Linked DNA regions of Xenopus tropicalis. The protein of the gene in region 1 interacts with the protein of each later gene in a pairwise test. Links are inferred from orthologs where the notes say so. Each region holds a gene or a part of one and is shown in the gene's direction. Other genes may lie near its edges.

Region 1 (3,658 bases):
CGTAGTAATAGGATATGGGAGCACAAAGTGTGGGCCTCATCTACCGCCCTTAACAGACACCCCTTTGTGAATTGCATTGTCAGCTGCCTGTGCCGCCCTTGTGTTTTCTGCTTGGCTTCTTATTGGCTATGACAGCCTGTCTGCTGCAGTCATCTTCTCCCGGGGTCACTGATGCGCTGCCTCGCTCCCTATTTACTCCTGATTGTGTTTGATTTACCCCTGGCTACAGACCAGCACTATCAAAAAGCCATATAGCTTGTTGTTATATCTAAGCTGTATGGCAGCTCCCATGTATGCAATGACTTCTCACTAATAGTTTATTGCTTTGAGTGCTGTATTATTATTATTATTATTCCTGCATGTAACACATATGTTTACTTCTCACGACTACAGGCGCCCAACATTCTGCAGTTCCTCCTACCCTGCCCCAGGGGGCGCTAGACAGACTGAAGGCTGAGCGAGAAGACGAGATGCAGAGGCTGGAGGATGAGATCTCGGCTGGTCAGTATCCCTTTAAAAGGAAAATAACCAACTCTGTATTAAGGGTTGGACTTGGGGTGTCCAAGGGCTATTACCCACTCTGGGGTAACTGCTGCCCAGATCCTGCCCCCCTGAGCACTTTATACTTACTTTGCCACAATCGGCGGAGGGAAGGCAGAAGGGGAGTGATGGGGAAGGGCAGGCGGAGATTGGGTCTGGGTTTTTTCCTGGTGTCCTGCCGGCCCAGTCCAACCCAAGGCCTAAAGATCAGCCTGGGGCTATATTTGTAGCTACAGTTGATGGTCCCAAACCAATCATTATTGCACTCTGGGCCATCATGGGGAGGTACAAGGAGGCAGCCCAGATGAAACAGGAGCAGGCCCAGACTGCAGACAGGACAATGATTGGGCAAGTCATGTAAAGGGTTGGGTGGGTCATGGCCATATGAACATACATCGCCCCACTAGTACATATTGGCTGCTTAATGATAAAGCAGTGAATGAGCCCCCCCTTCCCTGGCATTGGGTATCAAGAAGTTTATGTTCTTCTTCTCTTCCAGCGTTCCCCTCCACTGGGTTTGATATGCACACGTCCCCGGTCTTCTACCCAGCGAGCTCGGAGACCTCTATAGAGGAGTGCCTGTCCCACCTCTGCGAGAAACTTGCCACGGAGATCCGAGAGTCGCTGGATAAAGCCTCCGAGGGTCTCCTGAGCGGGTAAGTGCCAGTGGTGCCACAATATTGTATAGCTCCTGGGCAGCTTCCGACCTAGGTAGGTACCACAGTCCTGTGGCAATAAAAATCCATACCTATAAAGTTGCCCCCTTTTGCCCCACACCTTTCTGATGTTGGTTCCTCTACTTGGATTTAGAGGGACTGCCCATAATCATTCCTTGATTGTCAGGTGGGGGGGCGGCGCGGGCACCTGAAGGGCCCCTGGGGTGGGAGCCCCGGTGGGCCCTTCACCCCCCAGTCCAACCCTGGGGCCAATTATTTTTAAAGGTGCTCTTGGCTTTAACATTTAAAGGGCAAGTAACACCTAAGGCCCTGTTGAACATAACCCTAACCCCCCCCCCCGCCATATTTCTGCAATATGTATTGGGTCCTGGTTTTCCAGCCTTTTGCCCTCACAGTATGGGGTGAAGCTGCCAGTCATGGCCTTCTGTATCAGCATCTCCATAATTGATTTAAGTGCATGGGAAACGAAGGGGAAATGAAGAGCTAATGGTGTCCTTACTGTAACAGGAGCCTGGCGGCGGAAGAGTTCAGGAAGGCGGTGGCGCTCATTAGTGTACACGCCACTGGCTGGAATAAGGTAAGTAGTCCCCACGTCGCACACATAACTTCCAGTATGGGTGCAAACAAAGGGAGGGCCAATACACTATGCCCCATATGTAATAAAAGGCACTACCTTTGCCCAGGAGCAGTAACCCATAGCAACCAATTAGATGTTTGCTGTTAAACAGGTGACCAGGACCTGCTGATTGGTTGCTATGGGGTAATGCTCCTGGGCAAATTAGTGCCTTTTATTAAATAACCCCTTATGCCTTTTTAAGGTGGTTAAACCATGTCTAGCCGATTAAAAAATCCAGTTGGTTAAGGACCACATTAGCTATTGGATCAGCTGGATTTGGCCCAGGGTATAGCAGGCAAGACTGGGCATAGAGCCACTCATTATTTGCCAACCGAGCCATAGTACTGGCCTACGTTCTGATATATGTATGAACTGTGCCGGTGATCCATACTGGGAAATTAGAATGTACCGATGCCTCTCCCTTAGGGGATGAACTCTCCCCCATTGAGCCTCACTTGATTTAATGCCCTGAGGCCCAGGAGGTACTTACCTGTGTGTCAGAGCCAATCTGTCAGCGTTACTAGTGCCTCCCTGCCCTCAGGCTCTGTATCTGCTACACGCAGGCCGATAACAGCAGCTTATTAGCTTTTCCAATGGCCAGCTAGACTTATAGCTGCCCGATAATTGCCCAGATATCTATTGGCCAGGTTAGAAACCCCTATGGGACTGGTAGGTGACTTGGGTCTCCATAGAGCTGCAATGTGATTGGATCGTCTTCCTCTTTCAGGTTCTTGCCCCACTGGTCCTGCTGCAGCAGCTTCTCCTAGAGCTGACGAGGCGAGGGGAGTATCAACTAAAGGCCCTCGTCCAGCTGGGGGTCAGTTACATAGAGGACATGTGTGCGGACTTTATTATCCAGCAGGGAGGATGGGTAAGTCCTGATTGGGTACCTACCTCTGTGTACGGCAGCGACGTTTAACATAAGCTAAAGCACTGCGACGTAGAGAGTTATAGTTCAGCAACAGCCAGAGAGGCATAGGTTGATGGGTAGTGATGTTGGTAGTACAGGTATGGGAATCCCTTATCCAGAAACCCATTATCCAGAAAGTTCCGAATGACCGGAAGCCCATCTCCCATAGACTCCATTTTAATCAAATAATTACATTTTTTCAAATTTCTCTGTAATAATAAACCAGTACCTGTACTTGATCCCAACTAAGATATAATTACCCCTTATTGGGGGCAGAACAGCCCTATTGGGTTTATTTAATGGTTAAATGATTCCCTTTTCTCTGTAATAATAAAACAGTACCTGTAGTTGATCCCAACTAAGATATAATTACCCCTTATTGGGGGCAGAACAGCCCTATTGGGTTTATTTAATGGTTAAATGATTCCCTTTTCTCTGTAATAATAAAACAGTACCTGTACTTGATCCCAACTAAGATATAATTACCCCTTATTGGGGCAGAACAGCCCTATTGGGTTTATTTAATGGTTAAATGATTCCCTTTTCTCTGTAATAATAAAACAGTACCTGTACTTGATCCCAACTAAGATATAATTACCCCTTATTGGGGGCAGAACAGCCCTATTGGGTTTATTTAATGGTTAAATGATTCCCTTTTCTCTGTAATAATAAAACAGTACCTGTACTTGATCCCAACTAAGATATAATTACCCCTTATTGGGGGCAGAACAGCCCTATTGGGTTTATTTAATGGTTAAATGATTCCCTTTTCTCTGTAATAATAAAACAGTACCTGTACTTGATCCCAACTAAGATATAATTACCCCTTATTGGGGGCAGAACAGCCCTATTGGGTTTATTTAATGGTTAAATGATTCCCTTTCTCTGTAATAATAAAACAGTACCTGTACTTGA
Region 2 (3,659 bases), on another chromosome or scaffold:
ACACGGGGAGATTAGTCGCCCGCGGCAAAACTCCATGTTCGCGGGCGACCAATCTCTCCGAGTTGCCTTCCCCCTGCATCCCACCGGCGAACATGTAAGTCACCCGCGAACAGGGAGTTTTGCCGCGGGCGACTAATCTCCCCGTGTGCCAGAGCCCTAAACCTTTACATGGCTTGTTAATAATGCTTGCCATTAAGAAATACTTTGCATTTTAACTGCCACAATAAAGCTTTTTCACACAAGTGTGACAATACATTTTTCTGCAAAGTCCATTGTTAATAAGAAGAAACAAGTACACAACCACTTGTAGCAGAACAGAAAGAGAAGTCGGTAAAACAAATGCAAGATTTCACATACACAAAAAATATAATCTATAATTATATTAGTGGTCCCAAATGAACATGTTTTATCTTAAGCTAGTATTTTCTTACAGCTTTTATCCAAAAACTTTAGTGCAGATAATTAGGTAAACAACAGTTGATTTGCATTTTTAGAACTATGTCAATCAAATAGCCCATTCGTTTATGGGAAGAACTGCAACAGAGAACTTGCAGGCACATAACAATTATTATGTTTTATCAGTTCATCTCACTCTAAGGGAACTTTTGATTAATTCTAAGGAAGGAAACCACAGCCAATCTTAACAACAAACTGCAAAATTCTTTCCAAATATCAGGAGTCCTGCCTCTCACTGCGATTCTGCTTCCAACCACCCCTCACTCTCTCATTTCCACACCTCCTCAATTGTTGTAATAAACTGAGCGACAGCCCCCAGCCCTGCCACTGAGCTCAAGGCAAGCTGCCGAACACTTCCCACTGCAAAACTACTTACTAACAACAAAATTTCAATAAGGTAAGGGCATCTGCACTGTGAAACTAAATAATATTGCTTTTTAACATGCTTTGCATGTTGGCTTGCAGATCAAAGCAGCTTTATCCTGATACATACATTTCAGTCTGCAACTAAAATTGTCATCTAATTTACATGTAAGTGATATGAGTAGGTTTTAATTTTCAGTCTGCAATTCATTTATTTGGAATTCCTATTTTCAGCTAATAAAAGAAAAAGAAAGGTATTACAACCAGTTGTATAAGCTTGGGATTATTTGCAAAGATATGCAGCATCCATATTATATTTAGCTGACTGTCTCACAGACAATTATGTCCCTTGTGGGCTGTAAAAATATTGCTCTTTTAACAGACAGCTGCCAGCATTCTAGGGGGTTCTGGGAAATATAGCTTTTAACAGCTGGATGGGCTCTTTGACGTCTGTAGAACAGTATATAATGTAAATTATATTTATTGTAAGAAAATACTTTAATGTATGTCAATAGAATAATGGAATACATTTGTCAAACTCATCAGTTCCCCATGTCTTGGAACTTCAGATGTATTATTTTTAGGGCTGCTGAATGCAAATAAACACTGGAAATAGTCATGTATTTCTAATGCTGGGAAGCATGTTTGTGATAGCATGGGGAGGTCAAAATGTTAATGAGAAAGGTTCTCATAGGCATTTAGCCTGGAAACCAAGCCAAAAACTATGGAAGGAAATGTAATTGAGGCATTACAGCACAAAGAAAAAAAAAGTAGGGGGAAATATTTTAGTAGAGTGTTGGAAACTGGAAAGTAAGTCTGAGCACCATAGCCTATATTTCCTATATAGTATCACAAGGGCAAAAAGTGGCCCACATAGCAACTTTTTGAATGCTCTATGGCTCACTGTAATTGCTTACTCTGTTTAGATCTGCAGACGAGCAATTTTAAAGAGATAGAGTCTTGAGACTTTGCACCCTGTATATAAATGAGCAAAGCTTTAGCTAGTTGTTTTCTTTAAGCTCTGTATATACAGGCATTTGTCTTGCTGTTGGTGATGCACTTCCCAGTGTACACATTTACCACAGATGAACACTGTCCAGAGGGAGTGCATCTTCAGATCAGCATGACATGTTTCAGCTCAGTTCACCAGCAGGCAACACAGAATATAGAACATCAAAATGGCTCATTATGCAAAATATAAATACCACTATAAATAGTCACTGTTGGTGGTGCAACATGTTCCCTGGATACCTGGCCAGCCATTTACCATTTAAATAAAAGATCAGGACTCAAACAGTCCAATTTTAATTTACCCAACACCAATAGTGACCAAGGGGGTATGACCTTCCTTCTTCAGGGTATGTGATACATATATAGATTGAAACAAATATTGTGGAAATACACAATAATTTATAAGTGTAATAATTTCTTCTATTTTTAGATGGATATTCAGCTATATATTAGCTGTATTTTACCTGCATGTACAACACTAATTATAATGTTGCAGTCTTTTCATGAAACTTTCATGTCAAAGGGAGGAGCTGATTTTGGGTGCTTTTCAACCAGATAAAAAGGGTAAAATAAAAATCACACTGTGTGCCATCAAACTAGATATCCTTCAAATGCAAATAAAACAAATGTGGTTAAAATCCAATGCAGCAATCTGCATCCAAATGTTGCTTTTACATAAGAAGTAAGGCCAAGTTTGGGCAATCTACAAACCTCCAGAATTTGACTTAATGGCTAGCCCAAGATCATGAAATACTTTACTTTAGAGGGGAGTGTTGTTTGTGACATTCCTGGCCAAGCAGTAGTTAATACCTAATAACATAATCCTTTTGTTTACCAGGAATAATTTCAAGAGCCAGGCGGAGTAAGGGACTATTGGCCATGGCTCAGGGAGTACAAGCTATCCCACATAACAAACAGCACAAATAGTTTCATAATTTCTCCACTGGTGACCTTTTCCAAATCCAATATGATCTTTAGCCTACCCAAGGGCTTTAGTAAACTATGAAGGGGCATTCTTGCATCAGCCTTATTTTATTTCTTTGTAACGATTTCAAGTTTAAAAAAAAAAAAAAAAAAATAGTGGAAAAGAAACATTTTAATAAGTGGGTTAACCCACCTCCTATATAAAGCATGATAAAATTGTTTTGAAAGACAAATGTAAAAGTTTATTACAATAATAAAAAGAATACACCCTTATTACACTTTGCTGTCACTGTAAGCTTCATGAATGAACTTACTTGTGTTTGTTCACTTGAATTTATTTAACCATGACCTTTTACAAACGTATCTTATGTGAAGAGCCGAATGGGAAAAAAAATTATACTTTTGCTGGCCAAAAAAATCAAGACAAATGCTGGAATGCCTCCTAGGCTTTACTAAGCAATAGCTTTAATAATGAATCATCTCTCAGACAAGGATCTTACACAAAAATGGAAACAAGTATCTTTTTCTAAAAACAGTATATAACTTATAACCTTAACTCATCAGTACAATGCCTCTACACTACAATGAATTTGAAATTCAGTAGATATTTACTTTTGGTAATCTGCACATCAAACGGTCTGTCCAGCTGGAGGCCCATGGGCTAGATGCAGTCCTCTAAGTTATTTTTTGCTTCATGGACATATCTGAATGAGCCTGTGATATAAATGGGCTACACATATGCATTTAGAATTGTGTGTAGTTTGATTTTTGTGTTAAAATATTTCAGAGGATGCAAATAACTCATAGTATACAACTCTTTCCTGATATAACATGAATTAAGACTTTTTTTTTTTTTTTGTTAGCTGATCCTTTAGCTAGCAGCATATCATGTGTACATGCCATGC
Region 3 (3,658 bases), on another chromosome or scaffold:
TGCCCAGGTGCAAATTTGCCCAGTGTTTATTATTGAGCCTCACAGTATCTCCCCTTGGTTTGTTGGGAATTGGAATGCACTGATGTCACAGGTAGGATGTGGCTTAGAACAGATTTTAACCTGCTATGGGCCCACAACCAGTCTGGCCTGAACTTGCTTGAGCTGCAGGTCCTGACCTGTGCAGCACCTACATCCCTTCCAAGCCCATCCTTCATGAATACAGCACTGCTGAATGCACACATCTCTTTATTAACCTGTATTCATTGTGCAAAGTGTGAAAACCAAACATGGCGGTTTGTGCTTGTTTTTTGCACCTTGAACCCTACCCCACAGGTTGTGAACCCTATGGAATTTAGTGATTTTGCATACTTGCTACAAGGTGATGACTGTTCTTGTTTTCTTACAGTTCCAGATGACATTTCACCTTTTCATTGCGGCATTTGTGGGTGCAGCTGCAACTCTTGTGGCCCTGGTGAGTTTACTTTGTACTTAGCCCTGCAAATAATATACAGATGTACACTTTAAATGGAAAACACACTTTTTTAATATCCTGTGTAATTTATTTTAAATATAACATAAATATGAAGGCACAGCACTGTCTACAAATACTTTACATATATGAATTTGTATACTGCACTATTTGTATGAAAGAGTGGTGCCATGCTACTAACTACTTCTTAGGCAACCCTGACATTTCTCCATAACGAGGGTCTGTAAGACCAATAGCAGTCTCTGTTGCAGCATTTCATACAGAGCTGTACCTCAGGAGCAACTTCACTTCTGTATGTTAAAGTGTCAAATATGCAGTTAAGGAATGTTCTCAGCACAAAATGTATTAAATCCCATGGTGTCAATTTAAGTCACAAGATAAAACCTTCTTATAAATGGAATGTAAACCTATTGTTTCACAGAAAGAAGAATTTCTTGTTTCACAATGAAGTGAAGTAAATTCCTATGAACACCTACTATGTATTGTGATATTTGTCTATGCTATCATGTCTCATATATTGCATGGCATAGGAAGGGTAATAGAGATATAGAGATAGATAATGTTCCTATATATATATATATATATATATATATATATATTTATTGTAAACTAGCGGGATCCAGGACAGACACTTTCTTGGCTTTAAGGCAGTTTATTTACACAGGGGTGCCCATTGCAGCATACAAAACAAATCATAAAAATAAATCCTGCCCTCTGGGCGCTACCTTCACACATTAGATTAGTTCCCTCACTAACCTGGGCCCCTTGTGGACTACCAGTGGGAAAACACAAATGTTGGGGTCACCCCTGTACTCACAACACTTCTGGGGAATTAGCTCAGCCTCCTGGCTTTCCTTTTAGCTCCTTAGATCCTCAGTCTCTTGGCAGCTTTCTCAATTCTGGGCTCTTTCTGCTTCTGGTAGTGGCAGGCAGCACCCCCAGCCCCTCTGGGAGTCCTAACACAGAGAGGTGTCCTTCCTGCTCTGTGCTCTGCTCTGAGAGACTGTCTCACACCTTTCTATACCATTAAATACCTTTTCCACAGGACAGCCTTCCTGTGGAAAGTATGCTCCAATAGGTGAGCTGGACTACTGGAATGGATCGCCTGATCCGTTTGTTCCTTCCAGAACCCTATAGCTTTCAGGGCCAGACAGCACAACCTTTTAAACAGAGCAAACCTTCTCGGTTTATCATCTCCCACTATGGGGAACTTGAAGGGAAAACTCACCTTTTCTCTCATTTGTTGAGTCACTCTACCACAATATATATATATATATCTGTGTCATATGTCCCTGTTGTCTTGTGTGTGTCCCTATAACTGCTATAATACAGCATAAATGCTTCTTCTTCTGAGTGTGTAACACAATATTTCAGACAATTACAGAAATATAATGCCCACGGGCCAAAAATGCTTTCCACCCATTTGATAAAAAATTGCTCCAAGGTGCTATCATGTATTGCAACCTTGCTTAAATTTGCGTCATGGAATTTAATAATCTAGTATCTTTATAAACAGCCACTCATACAACTTTTCCATATCAACCTAGAATGAAAAACTTATCAGTGTAGTCCTGCTTTTATTTACTAACTGTGTCGATTTGTTTAACATTTAGTGGGGCATGCTTTTTTTTGTAGTAGGCGTGCATGCTTTTAATGTGAAATATATAAAGTAAAGACTATATTCATTCCTGACTCCAAGATGGCAAATCAGACCAGTCTCTGGATCGACTTGTACTAAAAGCTATTTTCAGAAGCCCTGTATTTTCTCAGTTTCTAAAAAGTCATCCAACTCATTCATAAATCTAATATATGAGTAGTAGTAAAACCACTTCCATAATTTCACAGATCTTAATTAGAAAAATTAAGATGGAACCTCCTTCTAATCTATTCTATTCTAATCTAATCTCAAAGGGTGTCCTAAAGTCTGTTGCAATAAGCTACTGGTTAATAAAGCACCAGAGAGTTTATTATATGGTCCCCTTATATTTATACATATTTATCATATTAAGGGCCATTTTTCCAGTGTAAACAACACCAACATAGCCCGTCTTTCTGAAGTATGACCCTCTCCTTCCACTAATCTTTTAGTACGGGTGAGATTTCTAATGATTTTATACTGTTTTTGCTAGTCTTGGAACTATAGATTGGTAAATGTGACAAAATGTAGGATAGGCCTCTGCTTTGAAAGAATACTAACTAAGGCATATCATTTTCTAATATTCCATGGACTAACATGGAAAAACTACTGCTTATAGCTTTTCTGGCCTGGAATGATGTATCCTAAGCCCATTCAACAAGAACTTTCTATGGTTTCTATTTAAACCATAACTGGATAATAACATCATATATAATTATGTATTATATTGATATATTGTATATTTTCTCTCCTGTACATTTTCTTTGCAGCTCACTTATATGGTAGGCGCATCATTCAACTATGCTGTGCTTCGAGTTACTGGCCGGAGCGATCGCTCAAAGTTTTAGACTTCAAGTCTGTGGTTGATAAAAACCAAAGCAGAATCCCGAATTCATGATTTTATTTATATGATTATAATGTTCATGTTTTCCTTTTGTTTTTGAATTCTTATTTTTGTTTGTTTGCTTAGGAATCTAGATAACATGGCTGGTGCTTTCCATGGAAAATCTGTATCTGCCCTTGGTTTCCCTAAACTCTTGGCTTAATCTAATAGAACAAGTAGGAACTACTCAAAGTGTACTAAGCAGGGATGCCATTCTCCACCACTCATATCTCTGAGTCAGCAACAACTGTAGGACCGCACATTTGCCACCTAGAAGTTACAAAAATGAGACTGAGGCTAACATTTTCTACTCAATCTTGTCACCAAAAAATTCCTTTTTAACAGTTGACAGGAGCAAATACATCAAAATACTCCAGGTCTGAGGGACATGAATTACAACAGTGTCGTATTTGTTGTTTAAAGAGATCTCTAAAACCTATTACAGACAAGAAAATACTGTTTCTTTTCGGCAAATTTCTTACAGTAGGGTAGTCGAAACCAGATAAAATCATAACTGATGACATAATGCTAATATAGATTTAACTGCATGATTTTAATAGAGCTATTCAATCATCTGTACTGTAAACCAAATTATACCTTATGTACAGAACTGTATCACTAATAACATGTCTAGGTTTCCATCAATTTC

What was found.
Region 2: the proteins of bcl2l13 (region 1) and pln interact in binary tests that used the Homo sapiens proteins (3 or more experiments, as listed by UniProt). The two-hybrid records come from large-scale screens. The link is inferred for Xenopus tropicalis from reciprocal best matches to the Homo sapiens genes BCL2L13 and PLN.
Region 3: the proteins of bcl2l13 (region 1) and plp1 interact in binary tests that used the Homo sapiens proteins (3 or more experiments, as listed by UniProt). The two-hybrid records come from large-scale screens. The link is inferred for Xenopus tropicalis from reciprocal best matches to the Homo sapiens genes BCL2L13 and PLP1.

What each region holds. Positions count from the first base shown.
Region 1 is NC_030679.2:8,692,688-8,696,345, reverse strand, and holds part of bcl2l13 (bcl-2-like protein 13), read left to right. Parts: intron 1-393; coding exon 394-501; intron 502-1,039; coding exon 1,040-1,196; intron 1,197-1,724; coding exon 1,725-1,794; intron 1,795-2,560; coding exon 2,561-2,704; intron 2,705-3,658. UniProt on the Homo sapiens protein: May promote the activation of caspase-3 and apoptosis.
Region 2 is NC_030681.2:73,815,204-73,818,862, reverse strand, and holds the start of pln (cardiac phospholamban), read left to right. Parts: upstream 1-746; 5' UTR 747-853; intron 854-3,659. UniProt on the Homo sapiens protein: Reversibly inhibits the activity of ATP2A2/SERCA2 in cardiac sarcoplasmic reticulum by decreasing the apparent affinity of the ATPase for Ca(2+).
Region 3 is NC_030684.2:37,565,846-37,569,503, reverse strand, and holds part of plp1 (myelin proteolipid protein), read left to right. Parts: intron 1-229; exon of another isoform or gene 230-406; coding exon 407-472; exon of another isoform or gene 473-495; intron 496-1,307; exon of another isoform or gene 1,308-1,486; intron 1,487-2,896; coding exon 2,897-2,974; 3' UTR 2,975-3,658.